Callithrix jacchus: one gene and its partners. The protein of the gene in region 2 purifies or fractionates together with the protein of the main gene of each other region. This does not show direct contact. Links are inferred from orthologs where the notes say so. Each region holds a gene or a part of one and is shown on either strand. Other genes may lie near its edges.

Region 1 (4,895 bases), on a different chromosome or scaffold from region 2:
GCTTATTCTTTTTTGTACCCCTCCACCCACCCTATAGCACTCAGCATGATGCCTCAGACATATCTTTTAAAGAATGTGCCTAAGAGAGATCCAGCTGCCTTAGTGTGTGGGTGTGAGTGGGCGTGGAGGAACCAGGCCCACCAGCCTTGCTCCCTGGCTCTTGCAGAACAGGTGAAGCACATACACTTCAGCCCAGCTCAGCAGTCAAGTGCTGTGTGGCACAAAGGTTAAAAGAACATGTTTGCAGCCAGCCCTGTGTTTTGGGCCCAGCTCTTACTAGCTATATAATCATAGGCAAGTTTACTAGCCTCTCTGAGCCTCAGTTTCCTCATTTATTAGACGATGACAATCACAGTACCCTCTTCCCTCAGCACAGTGTTAAGGCACATGAAAATCCTGATGCTGGTCAATGCTATTACTATTATTATGAACAAGAAAAAAGTCGGAGGAGTCAGGGACACCCTACTGAAGAAAATAAAAGAGCTAAGTACCAGAGGAAAACAAGAAGGAAGGGGGAGATGCGAATTCCTCAAAGAGATTAGCTCAGCACCTATCCGCTAAGCACCTACTGTGTGAAAAGGAGTTGCTAAACCAAAACGAAGCTTAGTTATTATCTCAAGGGAAGAAAAGGCTTGTCCACAATTAATTCCCATCCAAGGCCAAACACAAAAGGACCATAAGTGGCCTACTAAGTGTTCTGCAAATCCAGAAGAGAAGGGAGAGCTCACTCCTGACTGACAGCTCAGAAAGACTTTAGGGAAAAAGCTGTAAAAGATGGCCAGGAGAGAGGGGACAGGTGATAGATGAGGAATAAAGATCATCCACCCACCCCCATCCAGGCAAACCTCAGTCACACTGTCAACCCCCCACCCCCCAGAGCTTGCCAACCACTGAAGAAGTCCAAATGCAGCTGAAAATCAAGAGCAGAAAAACCTTATAGGGAGGTGAGAGTGATGCCTGGCTCCATGCACCCTGATCCTTCCAACACCCTTTCCCAACCGAACGCTTACACTCCTGGTCCTAACAAGTCTAACTGGGAATTTGTTTTCTTCTTCACAATCTAGTAGGCTAAAGTTTTCTGTGGATGGGACAGTATATAGTCCATCAGACTAAAAACTACAAATGGGTGGGGACCTCACCAGCTTTCCCTGGATTCCATTTCCCTTAGCCCCTGGTGTGGCTGATTTGTGTGTGCATTGTCTACAATTAAGCTACCCAAACCATCTCTGCATGCCCACTCCCCAAGGACAGGGCCTGGGTGGGACACACAACCCTATCCAGCTCACTACCCCTAGGAGGTTCACCATCTAGCACACCATCACCAACCCTGTACTCAGTGCCTCAGGCCCTGAAAGGTTAAGGGGACAACCCAGAATCAGAGCTGCCTGGCAAATACAGAACAGCCCTGGAAGAAAAAGTTTGAAAAGGTCATAGATGGCAGCCCAGTAACCCAGTCAATCAGAGGGCAAATGAATATACCTCTGGGGTCATCAAGCAAGAGGCCAGAACATGAGACTAGAGCCAGCCCCCACCATAAAGGGCCAGCCCCAGGAGAGGAGAAGCTGGGGGAGGCTGGACCTGGTATCCTAGCATCCTCTGTGAGACTGTACCTCAAAGGAACCACACCTCTGAGTCAGACCTCAGCAACAGCAGGAAACAGAGGGTAGAAAAAGGCACAGATGAGGAACAGGGGAAGGCGGCACCGAGGTAGAAGAGAAAGGTGAAAGAAGGCACCATTAAGAAATGGCCTGTGGGCCAGGGCTGGGGGCTACCCTCTGTAATCCCAGCACTTTGGGAGGCCGAGGCAGGCAGATCACCTGAGGTCGGGAGTTCAAGACCAGCCTGACCAACATGGAGAAACTCCATCTCTACTAAAAATACAAAATTAGCCAGGCATGGTGGCACACGCCTGTAGTCCTAGCTACTCAGGAGGCTGAGGCAGGAGAATTGCTTGAACTGGGGAGGCGGAGGTTGCAGTGAGCCGAGATCATGCCGTTGCACTCCACCCTGGGCAACAAGAGCAAAACTCTGTCTCAAAAAAAAAAAAAAGAAAGAAAAAGAAATGGCCTGTGTCAGGACATCATGACAAAGACCAAAGACATGGGTGTCCAGGGGTAGCTGGCCTGCAGGCTAAGAAGGAATAATAATCTGACGGGGAGGACAAATTCCCAATTTGAAGATGGTGCAGCTCAGGAAAGGCAGAAATCCAGCACTGGTGCAAAAAAATAAAAAGGAAGAATGCAAAGGTTATCCTAGGATTAGGAATAAGGGGAAGAGCCTACTCAGATTAGGAAAGGTGACTGGTCTAGGATGTACCTGGAGCCAGTTAGGAGGGCTTTGATAGAAAAGAGGCCTTTAAGTCAGGAGACCCGATATTGCAGCTGGGCCTCTAGCAGGCTGTGTGACCTTGGACAAGTCCCTTGCCCTGTCGGCACCTCAGTCTCCTCATCTGTACCATTAGGGATTGCACTGCATGCGCTCAGAGGTCCCTTCCAGCACTGATGTTCTGAGGTTCCATCAACATAAGGGCTCAGTCCTGCTTACAAGTTTGTGTGTGAAGGAAGAACTAGAGGGAGGGGCCAAGGCCAGATTTGGGTGGAGGAGAGAGAAAGCAGCGCTGTTCTAGGTCAGGGGCTTGGCATGGAAAGAGAAGGGGCCGTAGGGGACTGTGGGGCGGCTGTCCCAGGCGGGTAGGAAGAGGAGGAAAGGGGCTGTTCAGGGCGGGGGGAGGGGGCAATTCTGGAAGGAGGTGCAGTTTCAGATGAGGGGCTGCCTAAACCGATGGGAGATCGGGGCCAGGGGTGATGGGGGGACAGAAAAAGCAGGACAGTGACCTGAGAATGGGGCGAATCTGGAAGAAGGAGGTTACCCTGGGCCGGGGGTAAGAGCAGGGAAGAAGGGAGGAAGGCGTATGTGGGGGGAGTCTCTCCGGGGCAAGGATGGGGAGCTGTCCTAGCCGCGGCACAAGCTGGGGGTGCTGCCAGCCGCGGGGGCGGAGGGCTGGCCCCAGGAGTCCTGCGGGGGCCGGACGGGAGGGTCAGTCTGGGGCTGTCCCGGGCCTGGCTCTGGCCCCTCCCAGAGCTCCGCGCAGGCTCCAAGGCGGCGGTGCGGGAAAAAGGGCCACGCTCACCTTCTCCTTTTTCAGTTTATAGGGCATCTCGGCCCGTCCGGACCCGGCCCGTCTCCTGCGGCCCCGCTCCGGCTCCGGCTTGCCTCGGCCGCACTCGGCCCGTTCGGCGTCTCTTCGCCACCGCCTGCGCGCTGCGCCCGGGTCGAGCGGTGCCTGCGCCTCCAATTGGCCCGAACTCCTACAAAACTGCCTGACAACCAGGCGCCGCCTCCTCGGATTGGTCATTGGAGCCAAGCTGCTTCCTTTTTTTTCTCATTGGAAAGAAATAGTACAAACCGCCAGGGTTCTGCTATCAGAATTGGCTGAAGTGGGTGGTCCCGCCCTAAAGTGGGTCGAGCTTAGCGAAGGAGGCGGGGCTAAGGGAAAACCCAAGCTTGGCTAGGAGTGCTGCACTTCAGCGTCCGCTGTGCGTCGTCCTCGGCCATTCTTTGCGGGGCTGGGAGCTCTGCTCTTTCCTTCTAAAGTGGCTTTCACACTTTGTTCACTCTGCTACCCTGCCCAGTTCGAAGTGGAGGAAGGAAGCCCTAATACGGAGGGCACCTTTCTTCACTGGGGTAAAGTAGCCCTAATTGCAGATGCAAAATTGGTGGCGGAAGCTCCCAAGGACCTTCCAAGACACCCGCCTCCCTAGACAGGAGTTGCAGAGGAGCAAAGGGAAAGCCTGGCAGGGCTAGGACCTGGGCGAAATGAGATGAAAATCTCTGGTTTGGTGCAACTTTATGAAGAGGGTCCCCGTTCCTACTGCAAGTGTACTGGAATTGGAGAACAAGGTAGGTTTGAGCAGTTGGGAACGCAGTGGAAAAGCAACTTAAATTGTTGAGTGTCTCAGGAAATCCATCCCTTACTTGCCACCCTGCCCAAGCCAATGCTCTAATGGTTAAGACTCTGTTCATATTCACAAGGAGTTCGAAGGCTGGTGAATCACAGACGTGTATAAACAGGATTAAGATAGAATGTAAGCCAGGCAGGCACGGTGACTGTAATCCCAGCATTTTGAGAGGCTGAGGCACGCGGATCACCTGAGGTCAGAAGTTCGAGACCAGCCTGGCCAACATGGCGAAAACCCCACCTCTTATTAAAAATTAAAAAATTGGCCAGGCGCGGTGGCTCATGCCTGCAATCCCAGCACTTTGGGAGGCCAAGGTCAGCAGATCACGAGGTCAGGAAATTGAGACCACCCTGGCTAACGCAGTGAAACCCGTCTTTACTAAAAATACAAAAATTAGCCAGGCATGGTGGCACCCACCTGTAGTCCCAGAAACTCGGGAGGCTGAGGCAAGAGAATTGCTTAAACCCAGGAGGCAGAGGCTGCATTGGGCCAAGATCGCACCATTGCACTCCAGCCTGGGCAATAGAGTGAGACTCTGGCTCAATAAATAAATAAATGCATACATACATATAAAAATTAGGCCGGGTGTGGTGCCTCACACCTGTAGTCCCAGCACTTTGGGAGGCTGAGGCAGGCGGATCACCTGAGGTCAGGGGTTCGAGACCAGCCTGACCAGCATGGAGAAACCCCATCTCTAAAAATACAAAATTAACCTGGTGTGGTGGCACATGCCTGTAATCCCAGCTACTCAGCAGCCTGAGGCAGGAGAATAACTTGAACCCGTGAGGCAGAGTGAACCAAGTCGTGCCATCGCACTCCAGCTTGGGCAACGAGAGTGACACTCTGTCTCAATAACAACAATAACAAAATTAGTCAGGTATGGTGGTGCATGCCTGTAATCCCAGCTACGTGGGAGGCTGAGACAGGAGAAACACT
Region 2 (4,662 bases):
CTAATATTTCTAGTAGCAGCAACTTCAGCTCAGACACTGCAGGCCTCTGTGCTTCCATGGGTTTCATCTACATGTCTGTGCCCTGTGGGCAAGCAGGTGCTCCTAACACTACCTGCCTCAGCCTGGGTCTCTGGTGGGTCCTCAGGAGGCCTTGGTCAGGTATCAGAGCTGGCCCCACTTCAGAACTGAGCCCAGGACAACAGTGACCAACTCAGGCCTTGGCCTAGTACCTCCTAGCTCCACTCAGTTTCAACTGGGCAGGACTCTCCACCCGTTAGCCTTCCACAGCTCTCTGCTGCCTCACACCCCATATGAAAATCTAAATGCCTCCGCCTGGCTCTCAGTGACCACAGAGCACAGTCAAAAACCTGCATGCACAACTAACTTCCCCTCCAACTAGCTGCACGATGTTGGACAAGACATTATCTACTCAGAGGCTGTTTCTTCTTCCACGAAATGGGGTTAAGTACTCAGCCCCGTCATGCCTACTCCTTAGGCTGTTACAAGGAGCCATGGAGACTGAATATATAACTTCCTCCTATTCTGCAAACTCCAGCATGCTATCCAAGCATTATCTACCATCGCCACCACACTGATCCAAGGCCTGCGCAGGAGATAAGACTTCAGAGGAAAAGAATAGTGCCAGACAACAACAGGTTTAAGTTCCTAAAAATGCCCATCAGGACTGAGGGAGAGGGGACAATTAAAAACACGGTGGGGCAGGTCTGGTCAGGGACGTTTCCTTCAGCTGGCAAAAGAGAAAAGCCACAGACAGGGTGAAAAAGAGGCCCACCCTGCTCACGATCCCCTCAGAGGCCCTGTCTGGCTGCAGGGAGTCTGTGAGGTGGGGCCGAGCAAAAAGCCTGGGGGCCACAGATTCAGAACTGAGCTCTGCCATGTCCTCAGTGGGTGACCTCAGTCAAGTCACCAGGCCTCTACGAGTCATGGTTTCCTATTCGGTAAAATGGAGCAAATGATTCCAACCTCTCAGGATTGCTGGGAGGAAGAGACGAATAGACGTTTTTTCGCCAGTACAGGGCCAGGCCAATAGTGGGTGTATAGTTCAATAAACATAGGGTAATTCTGCGGGCTCTTCTGCCGCAATTCACCAGCCTGGTAGAAGTCACAATCACACAGTTCCCCAGAGAAGGCAGGTAATTAATTAAACCCCTGACTGTTCCTCACACTCTCAGGGCCTCCAATGCTACACTTGTCCTGCTTGGAATGCCCTTCCCTCACTGGTCCTGCCTGTCAGCTAGCCAAATTATCTTCATCCTTCAAGGTCTACCTCTATTTAGTAGCCTTCCCTGATGGCTTTAGCCCATCTCATCGTTGCCCTCATCCAAGAGAAATAGAACACCTAGTGACTATCAAGCATGTATGCTGTACCAAGACACTGTGCTAAACTTAAGCAGCAACTCACTGAATTTTCACAACCATCTTATTAAGTACTATTAACTCTGCTTTGCAAGTAAAGACACCTTAAGATCACTAACACAACTAGTAAGTGGCAGAGTTCAGATTCAAACCTAGAGCCATCTCACACTCCAAAACCTAGAGCCTTAGGTCATCCTACTTCCCACAGAACTTTAAACTGGCCTTCCTATCATGCTTAATTCTTTTTTTTTTTTTTTTGAGATGGAGTTTCACTGTTGTTACCCAGACTGGAGTGCAATGGCACGATCTCGGCTCACTGCAACCTCCGCCTCCTGGGTTCAAGCAATTCTCCTGCCTCAGCCTCCCGAGTAGCTGGGACTACAGGCGTGCACACCACCATGCCCAGCCAATGTTTGTATTTTTAGTAGAGACGGGGTTTCATCTTGTTGACCAGGATGGTCTCAATCTCTTGACCTCGTGATCCACCTGCCTCGGCCTCCCAAAGTGCTGGGATTATAGGCGTGAGCCACCACGCCCGGCCATATCATGCTTAATTCTATCCTGGCTTACTTGCTACGATTTCTCAGGGTCCCATCCTGAATGTGAGTGATCCAAATCCACCTTCTTGCATTATGGCCTGAAAAAGGACAGGACACTAAGAACTGGCTTCAGACTCCACTCCTTACTTGTGGGTAACTTTGAACATGACAGTCCTCACCTGTAAAATGAGTACAATACGCCAACCTTTATGGGTGGTTGTTGGAATTCAGACTTTTATAAATCACAGCGTCTTTAACCTTCCTGTCTTAAACCTTTGTTTTGTTGCTGACTCTTTTACCAACTCCTTATTCGAGGCCTGTCTCACAGTTCGCCACCCACCCCCAGAAGCTTCTGTCCCCCAGACAGATGGGCTTGTTTCCCTTGGTTTCCTAAGTACTTTACGTAACACTCTTACTCCACTGGAAACACATCTTCTAATACTTTAAGTGTCTTTATCCAGCTGTCTTCCCCCAGCAGGCTAGCTCTTCCTCGAGCGCAGTGGCCCCATCCCGTTCCTCTCTGGGAAAGCTTCCAGGAAGGGGCAAGCCCAAAATTCTCAGTTGGGTTTGCCCCAGGCCAGAACCCGTGGGCGGCGGCTTGGCCTCCCTTCCGTGGGGCCAACGGGCTCACCTGGCCTTAGCGCACAGGGCCTTGACTTCGCTCTCCTTGATGAGCTCGCAGCGACGCAGCTGCTCGATCTGCCGGTCCAGGTCGCTGATCTCCGCCATGGCCCACCCCCCGGCGCGGGTCAGAGTCGGGGCCACCGCCCCCTCCGCACCGCACAGGGGTCTCCTGGGAAAGGCCAAGACAAGCCCGCGGATTAGAGTGTCCGTGAGGGGCGAGGAGCGGACAACTGGATTCTAGGGCCAGCCCGGCCCCACCCCCACCCCCGCCTCCCTTCACATCGGCCCCGGGACCCCCCCAGCGTCCCACGGCCTGGCCGGACCCCCACTAACTCCCGTCGAATCCCACGGTTCGCGCTAAGGACGGTGGCCTAGAGGGGTCTCGCATTATTACCGCCGCTGCGACTCCGGTTCCGGCTATGGGGCGCTTCCTGCCTCCCGACTTCCCTCCGCTTTGGGCCGCCGCCGCCGCCGCCTCTACTTCCGGCCCCGCCGCGGAAGCAAAGGGAAGCCAGTTCCGCCGCGCGCCGGATGTGGCGTCATACACGCTCCTCACCCTCCCTCCTCGCGCCCCCGGCACCACTTCCCAAGTCTGAAATCGGGAAGGAGCGGGAGTAATCCGGTGGCAGCTGGAGGCCAGCGGAAGTGTTTGTGGGCTCAGCCGCAGGTGATGTTGGGCTGTTAGAAACCCTAGACCAGTCCCCTCCCATTTCATTTTATAAAAATGTTTAAATTTAGACAACTTTCTTTTTTCTTTTTGAGACGGAGTTTGGCCCTTGTTGCCCAGGTTGGAGTACAATGGCGCGATCTAGGTTCACCGCAACTTCCGCCTCCCGGGTTCAAGCGATTCTCCTGCCTCAGCCTCCCGAGTAGCTGGGATTACAGGCATGTGTGCCACCACGCCTGGCTAGTTTTCTTTTTTTTTTTTAAGACGGGGTTTCACCATATTGGTCAGGCTGGTCCTGAACTCCCGACCTCAGGTGATCCTCCCGCCTTGGCCTCCAAAGTGCTTGGATTACAGGCGTGAGCCACTATGCCCGGCCTAGTTTTGTATTTTTAGTAGAGACAGGGTTTCTCCACATTGGTTAGGCTGGTCTCAACCTCTTGACCTCAGGTGATCCTTCCGCTTAGGCCTCCCAAAGTGCTGGGATTACTTTGGGTTCATGGGCGCGTGAACCACTGCGACCGGCCACAACTTTTATTTTTTTCTAAATTAGAGATAGTGTCTTGCTCTCTTGCTCAGGCTGGAGTCCAGTGGGGCGATCATAGCTAACTTCAATCTCGAACTCCTGGGCTCAAGCGATCCTCCCTCTTCGGCCCCCCAAAGTGCTTGGATTACAGGCCTCAGTCACCACGCCTGGTCATCCCCATTTCAGCTAGGGAAACAAGTCGAGCTGGGACTAGGCCTTGTAACTTTATGTTACACTTTTTTAAGTTACACATTTTTGTTATTTATCCGACACCACAATCCTTGGAGGATCCAACTTTGTCTTTTTCAATATTGAAGCCCCAGTGCTTAGAATAAGGCCTGGCATGGTAAGCATTTAGAAATACTTGTTAATACATAGAAATACTTAATACTTGTTCAATGGATGAAGGAAGCCCAATTCAAATCTCTTCCGGTGCCTTCAGAGAAATCTTTGCCATTGACAGCTTCAGAAGTTAACAAATTGGAGTCCACCTTTCCTATGCCAAGCCTGTATCTCAGTCAGCATGATTTCTGTGATTCCAAAATGTTCCCCTTAACATTTCTTAGTTGCTTTTTCTTTCTTTCTTTTTTTTTTTTCGAGACAGTCTCACTCTTTTGCCCAGACTGGAGTGCAGTGGTACAATCTCGACTTACTACAATCTCCACCTCCCAAGTTCAAGCAATTCTCCTGCCTCAGCCTCCTGAGTAGCTGGGATTACAGGCATGTGCCACCATGCCCGGCTAATTTTTGTGTTTTTACTATTTATTTATTTTTTAAGATGGAGTCTTGCTCTTGTTGCCCAAGGCTGGAGGGCAATGGCGTGATTTCAGCCCACTGTAACCTCCACCTCCTGGCTTCAAGTGATTCTCCTGCCTCAGCCTTCTGAGTAGCTAGAATTACAGGCATCTGCCACCACACCCAGCTAATTTTTG
Region 3 (4,736 bases), about 96 Mb from region 2:
GCGCCAGCACGAGAACTGTCCTTGGGCTGCAGGCTCGTCTCTGCCACCAACTGGTCCCAGCTCCCACCCCAGTGACCCCTCAGCCTTCTCCAACACTCTGCACCCTCGCGGCGTTCCACTGGGTCTAGGGAGAGGAATTCTCGAGGAAGCCTTGCTGGGACGGAGGCAGGAGAGAGCAGGAGAGTAACAAATAGGAAAAGGAGGATGAAGAAAGCACACTCTCTTTTTGGACATGCTGATTTCTGATGTAACGTGACTCCTGGGGCCAGAGCTGAGCCTGGAGGGCAGGGGGCTACAGAGCCACAGCCTTACATAAATTCTGTGTGCCTTAGTTTTACCAGCCGGGCTTCCCTGTAAGACGTAATGTGCACAGAAAAACAAGAAAAACTTGAAACTCAAGGTGCTAAGGTGCTTCCTGCCTCGCTTTTGGCACAGCCAGGACCTCCCACCAGGGCCCCATGGACCCGATTCCTTACCTAAGGCCTGCACCTTCCACAGTCTGGTGGGGCACTCACTATCCCTCAGAATCCTCCACGCCCCATCCACTTGAAGATGCCCACGCTGACACCTCTGAACCTTGCCGCAGCTTCTAACTGGGAGCGGGGTCGCTTAGGGCAGCAGCTTCCTCCTCCTAGCGCCTGCACCTCCATCAGTGGCCTCCCTGACCATGGACGAAAATGCGCACTGACACCCTCACCCACACAAGAAGCACGCAGGTCCACAGTGAGAGTCACACGTGGCAACCGACAAAACGGTCTAAAAGTAGATGGAATATGAAAGCCTCTCACGGGGCAACCAAAACACGAAGAAAAAGAAAAAATCCTGCCTGGGCTTTATCAAGCTACAGCTGCTAGGTCTATTCAACAGCTTCAGCAGGAACTTGCTCCTGTAAAAATCCGCCACTCACATAACAATACATCTTAATACATCCTAAATCAACACTCAAATCTCTAGACTACCCAATGTATTTTAGAACAAGGTGCCTGACTTTTATCAGGGTCTGTTTTGTATTTGAGAATCATTTAGGTTAAGTAATTGTTCACAAAAACAAGAGAAATTCCATTTTCTCTGTTAAGATCCGTCAGGCAAGGATGAGGCATCTCCCATAAGGCTATGGCTACGAAGGCAGACTTTTTAAAGACACTAAAAGTTAAGTCTCACATTAAGACAGCCACAACTCAGCAATCTGTTAAAAAAACCCTCCTGCAAAGAGTAATATGTACACACCACCACCCATTTTTTACTTCCCTTGAAAAAGGTAAAGTATTTGGTTCTTTTTTTTTTTTTTTGAGACTGAGTCTTGCTCTTGTTGCCTGGGCTGGAGTGCAGTGGGGTGATCTCAGCTCACCCCAACCTCTGCCTCCCGGGTTCAAGCAATTCTCCTGCCTCAGCCTCTTAAGTAGCTGGGATTACAGGCATGCGCCACCACACCTCGCTAATTTTGTATTTTTAGTAGAGATGGGGTTTCTCCATGTTGGTCAGGCTGGTCTCGAACTCCTGACCTCAGGTGATCCACCCGCTTTAGCGGATTCAAAGTGCTGGGATTATAGGCATGAGCCACCATGCCCGGCCAAGGTGTATGGTTCTTAAGTAGCACTGTGCGATATTCTACTTCTGAGATAAGAATGCAAAATTATAAATATATCAAACTGTGAAGATTTAGCAAGATTAATGATAGTATAGTTATTATTCACAAAAGGATTTCTTACCATCTCAAATTAGAGAAAACAGAATTAAAAGAAATCTTTAATGACATGGACATAATCAAAATTAAAGCTGCAAGAGTTCTGTTTTGAACTGAAATCGGTTAGCACCGTCCATGCTCCCCATGTGGCAGCCAGCGCCTCCAGTTCTGGCCAGTCCTCCAGGCTCCCCGTCCTGGGGTCGGGGCCAGTGCTTCCAGTGTACAGAAGCTCTGCAAAGAGGGGAGCAAGGGCCCACCAGCCTCTAAACCACAGCTCAGCACACAAATGCAGAGACTAGACTTTGGAGGCGAGAAACTGTCCCTTTCATCTGTCAGGGAACTCAGAGACAGAAAGGGCAAGGGACCGTATTTACACTCTGTTAAGGAAAAGTCAGGACAAGTATTTCAGACCCCAGGCCTGGCTGCACCGAGGTTCCTGAGGTTCCTGCTGGAATCCTTCCCTAACAAATAATGATCTCGCTTCCTTGATCATCGATCCTCGCTCACTAGGGCCTCTGAGGCTCACCAGTAAGAGGGAGGGGCTGGCAAGGCATCAGTGGGAAGGAAGTGCTACGACCTACAAGCCAGTGCTCAGGAGCTGTGGGCTCCTCCAAGGCCCACTCGGAAGGTTCCCTTCCCTCTGGACAGGCAGCCTTCAAGGGGGCATGCAAGAGTGAGTGCTGCTCACCTCTCCCTGAAGGGAAGAGAGAATTTACACAGCCCCACACTTCTCTGCAGGAAGTGCTGAGAGTTGCTCGCAGCCAGTGTCCCACAGAACACTCTTCTACCTCACTGCAGGGCAGGGCAGCGGGACCGGGCCAGCAGCTGCACAGGCATAGGAAGGGATTTTCTGAGAGCTCCCTGAGTTATCGTGGAATGAAAACACATAAATACACATCACCACCATCCTGCAGCCTGCATGTGGTCCCCTCTGGAGTCTCCTCCCTACTCTAAAGACAAAGGCCTTGGCGACTTCCTCGGGGCTCAGCAGCTGAGGCCAGAACTTAGATAATTCCTGAAAGGAGATTCTGTATGGCTGATGCAATGGAACTGAAGCTTAATGAAATGAGACAATGAGAAAATAATTTTGCTTCCTCACTTCTAAGTTACGTGAGAAAGGCTGAATGGTCACATTTGGTTTGCGGACTGAAAATTACTGACCTCTTGTTCACGCTGAAAAATAACAACTCTGCCGCCCTTGTCTCCTGTTGCAAGAAGATCTCCAGAGTAATTAAATTCAACGGTGGAAATGATGTCCGCTGTCAACAGAATAAGAAGCGATTTACCAGAGGAGGTCTGAGGGGGATCACAACACCAAAACAGCAATCAAAGGCTCAAAACAAAGATAAGACATACACGACGTTCTCCCAGAATCAAGCAAAATTGTCATGGCAAACTTGTAATTACCAAGTGGCCACTTCTTGGTCCTGGCGCTGAGAACCTGCCAGCACATATGAATGTGTGAGTCTGACTCCACCTCCATGCCTGGCCCCTGCCGCACCAGGATTTATCTAGACTGGACTGTCTTGATGAAGGGACAAAGGGTAGAAATTTAGAAAATTCACTGCTACAAGAAAGAGGAAAAACATGGTCCTGAAGAACGCTGACTGATTTTATAATGCATACCTAATGTCACCTTCTAAAATAAATCCGATGCGTTTACAATAGGAATACAAAGGTTTTAATGTTCTATGCAGTAACTTGTGTTGGCTTCTGTACATTACAGTATCATGGACAGTAGAAGCTCCATGTCATCATCGTCTGGAGACAGTCACCACCATTGATGACAACATCACCAAGTGAGACACTGTCGGGGCCCCTGAGATCTCTGACACCGCAACAAAGACCCAGACCATGGGGCAGACGGAACAACAAAACTCAGCTGTGCAAAAGTGCTCAGGCACCCTGGGCTAACCCTTTGGGCTGGGAGGGGAGTATCTGGATTTATGACAGACTATTAAATTGAAAAAACCCAGGTCTATGATTTGGACAAAAATTTGATATTTTCAGGAAGAGTCTGGAGGAAGCTGGCTTCTCTAAAGTGCCCCTGTGTCCTGTGCTGACTGACAAGCACAAGGCCTGGCGAGGCCTCCGAGGGGAGGGGTCGGTCGGGGCTCATCCTACAGCCATGGCGGGACTCGCCTTACCCTGCAGTGTGGGGTGTCTCAGGAACAGTGAGATCACTACAAGTTCACTCCCCTGCTGGGCACCAACTCATGGGCTCGCCGTGACTCTCCGCGCTCCCAGGGCCCACAGTATCTTTATAGTAGGAAGAAAAAACTACTAAATGGCGACTGTAAACAACCCACTTACTAATCAGAAATGGACCTGCAACTACTTGAGAAAGTCCCCCACAAGCGGAGATACTAGAATGCAACTCGCAAAGGTCTGCACAGGCGTTTTAATCATGTTTATAAAGGCTTTCCACCAGCATCTGCACAACTGGGGCACTGACTTCACACGGGAATCCCTGGCCTGGGATTTCTTTCTTTTTAAAAATCTTCAGACTTTGGGAGAGGATGAGGCTGCTTCTTAGAAGCATCACTATTAAATTACTGAAAATAACCTACCTTGCTTACGTGAAGCTGAAATATTCTGAATTGGATTAAAAAGGTCTAAATCGATGTAATTTATACCCATAGGGTGTATAAAATTACATGATTAATGGTATTCTAGTTCTGTCAGTGATTTTCAAACTTAATTAAAATGGACTGAGTCTTTTAAAAGAGAAACTTCCGTAACTGTCAGGGCTGAGAAGTTTCATTCAGCAAACATGCGTGAACCTGAAACGAGAAACACTGCAGGGCTCAGACAAGCTCTGAACCCAAACTAAATACACAAAGTCACAAAACCAACAGAGTTAAAATTATCAGCATCAAATTCATCCAATGGAGACAGTTTTTAAAAAAACAAACTGATGCTAAAGCATAAATATGGCACGAAGGGCACCAAGTCAGGTATTTCTTTGTTTTTTTTTGAGACAGAATCTCGCTCTGTTGCCCAGTCTGGAGTGCAGTGGTGCCACCTTGGTTCACTGCAACCTCCATCTTCT

The links. Proteins that work in one complex are often made in the same cells at the same time.
Region 1: the proteins of PPP4C (region 2) and PPP2R5D purify together in Homo sapiens (affinity purification with mass spectrometry; 7 studies listed by BioGRID and IntAct, with this or other methods). This does not show direct contact. The link is inferred for Callithrix jacchus from reciprocal best matches to the Homo sapiens genes PPP4C and PPP2R5D.
Region 3: the proteins of PPP4C (region 2) and PPP2R2D purify together in Homo sapiens (affinity purification with mass spectrometry; 3 studies listed by BioGRID and IntAct, counting the BioPlex papers as one, with this or other methods). This does not show direct contact. The link is inferred for Callithrix jacchus from reciprocal best matches to the Homo sapiens genes PPP4C and PPP2R2D.

The regions. Positions count from the first base shown.
Region 1 is NC_133505.1:51,474,082-51,478,976, reverse strand, and holds the start of PPP2R5D (serine/threonine-protein phosphatase 2A 56 kDa regulatory subunit delta isoform), read right to left. Parts: upstream 3,247-4,895; 5' UTR 3,158-3,246; coding exon 3,131-3,157; intron 1-3,130. UniProt on the Homo sapiens protein: The B regulatory subunit might modulate substrate selectivity and catalytic activity, and might also direct the localization of the catalytic enzyme to a particular subcellular compartment.
Region 2 is NC_133513.1:29,442,946-29,447,607, forward strand, and holds the start of PPP4C (serine/threonine-protein phosphatase 4 catalytic subunit), read right to left. Parts: upstream 3,020-4,662; 5' UTR 2,935-3,019; intron 2,710-2,934; 5' UTR 2,646-2,709; coding exon 2,548-2,645; intron 1-2,547. UniProt on the Homo sapiens protein: Protein phosphatase that is involved in many processes such as microtubule organization at centrosomes, maturation of spliceosomal snRNPs, apoptosis, DNA repair, tumor necrosis factor (TNF)-alpha signaling, activation of c-Jun N-terminal kinase MAPK8, regulation of histone acetylation, DNA damage checkpoint signaling, NF-kappa-B activation and cell migration.
Region 3 is NC_133513.1:125,239,080-125,243,815, reverse strand, and holds the start of PPP2R2D (serine/threonine-protein phosphatase 2A 55 kDa regulatory subunit B delta isoform), read right to left. Parts: upstream 3,247-4,736; 5' UTR 3,168-3,246; coding exon 3,092-3,167; intron 2,944-3,091; coding exon 2,846-2,943; intron 1-2,845. UniProt on the Homo sapiens protein: Substrate-recognition subunit of protein phosphatase 2A (PP2A) that plays a key role in cell cycle by controlling mitosis entry and exit. Involved in chromosome clustering during late mitosis by mediating dephosphorylation of MKI67.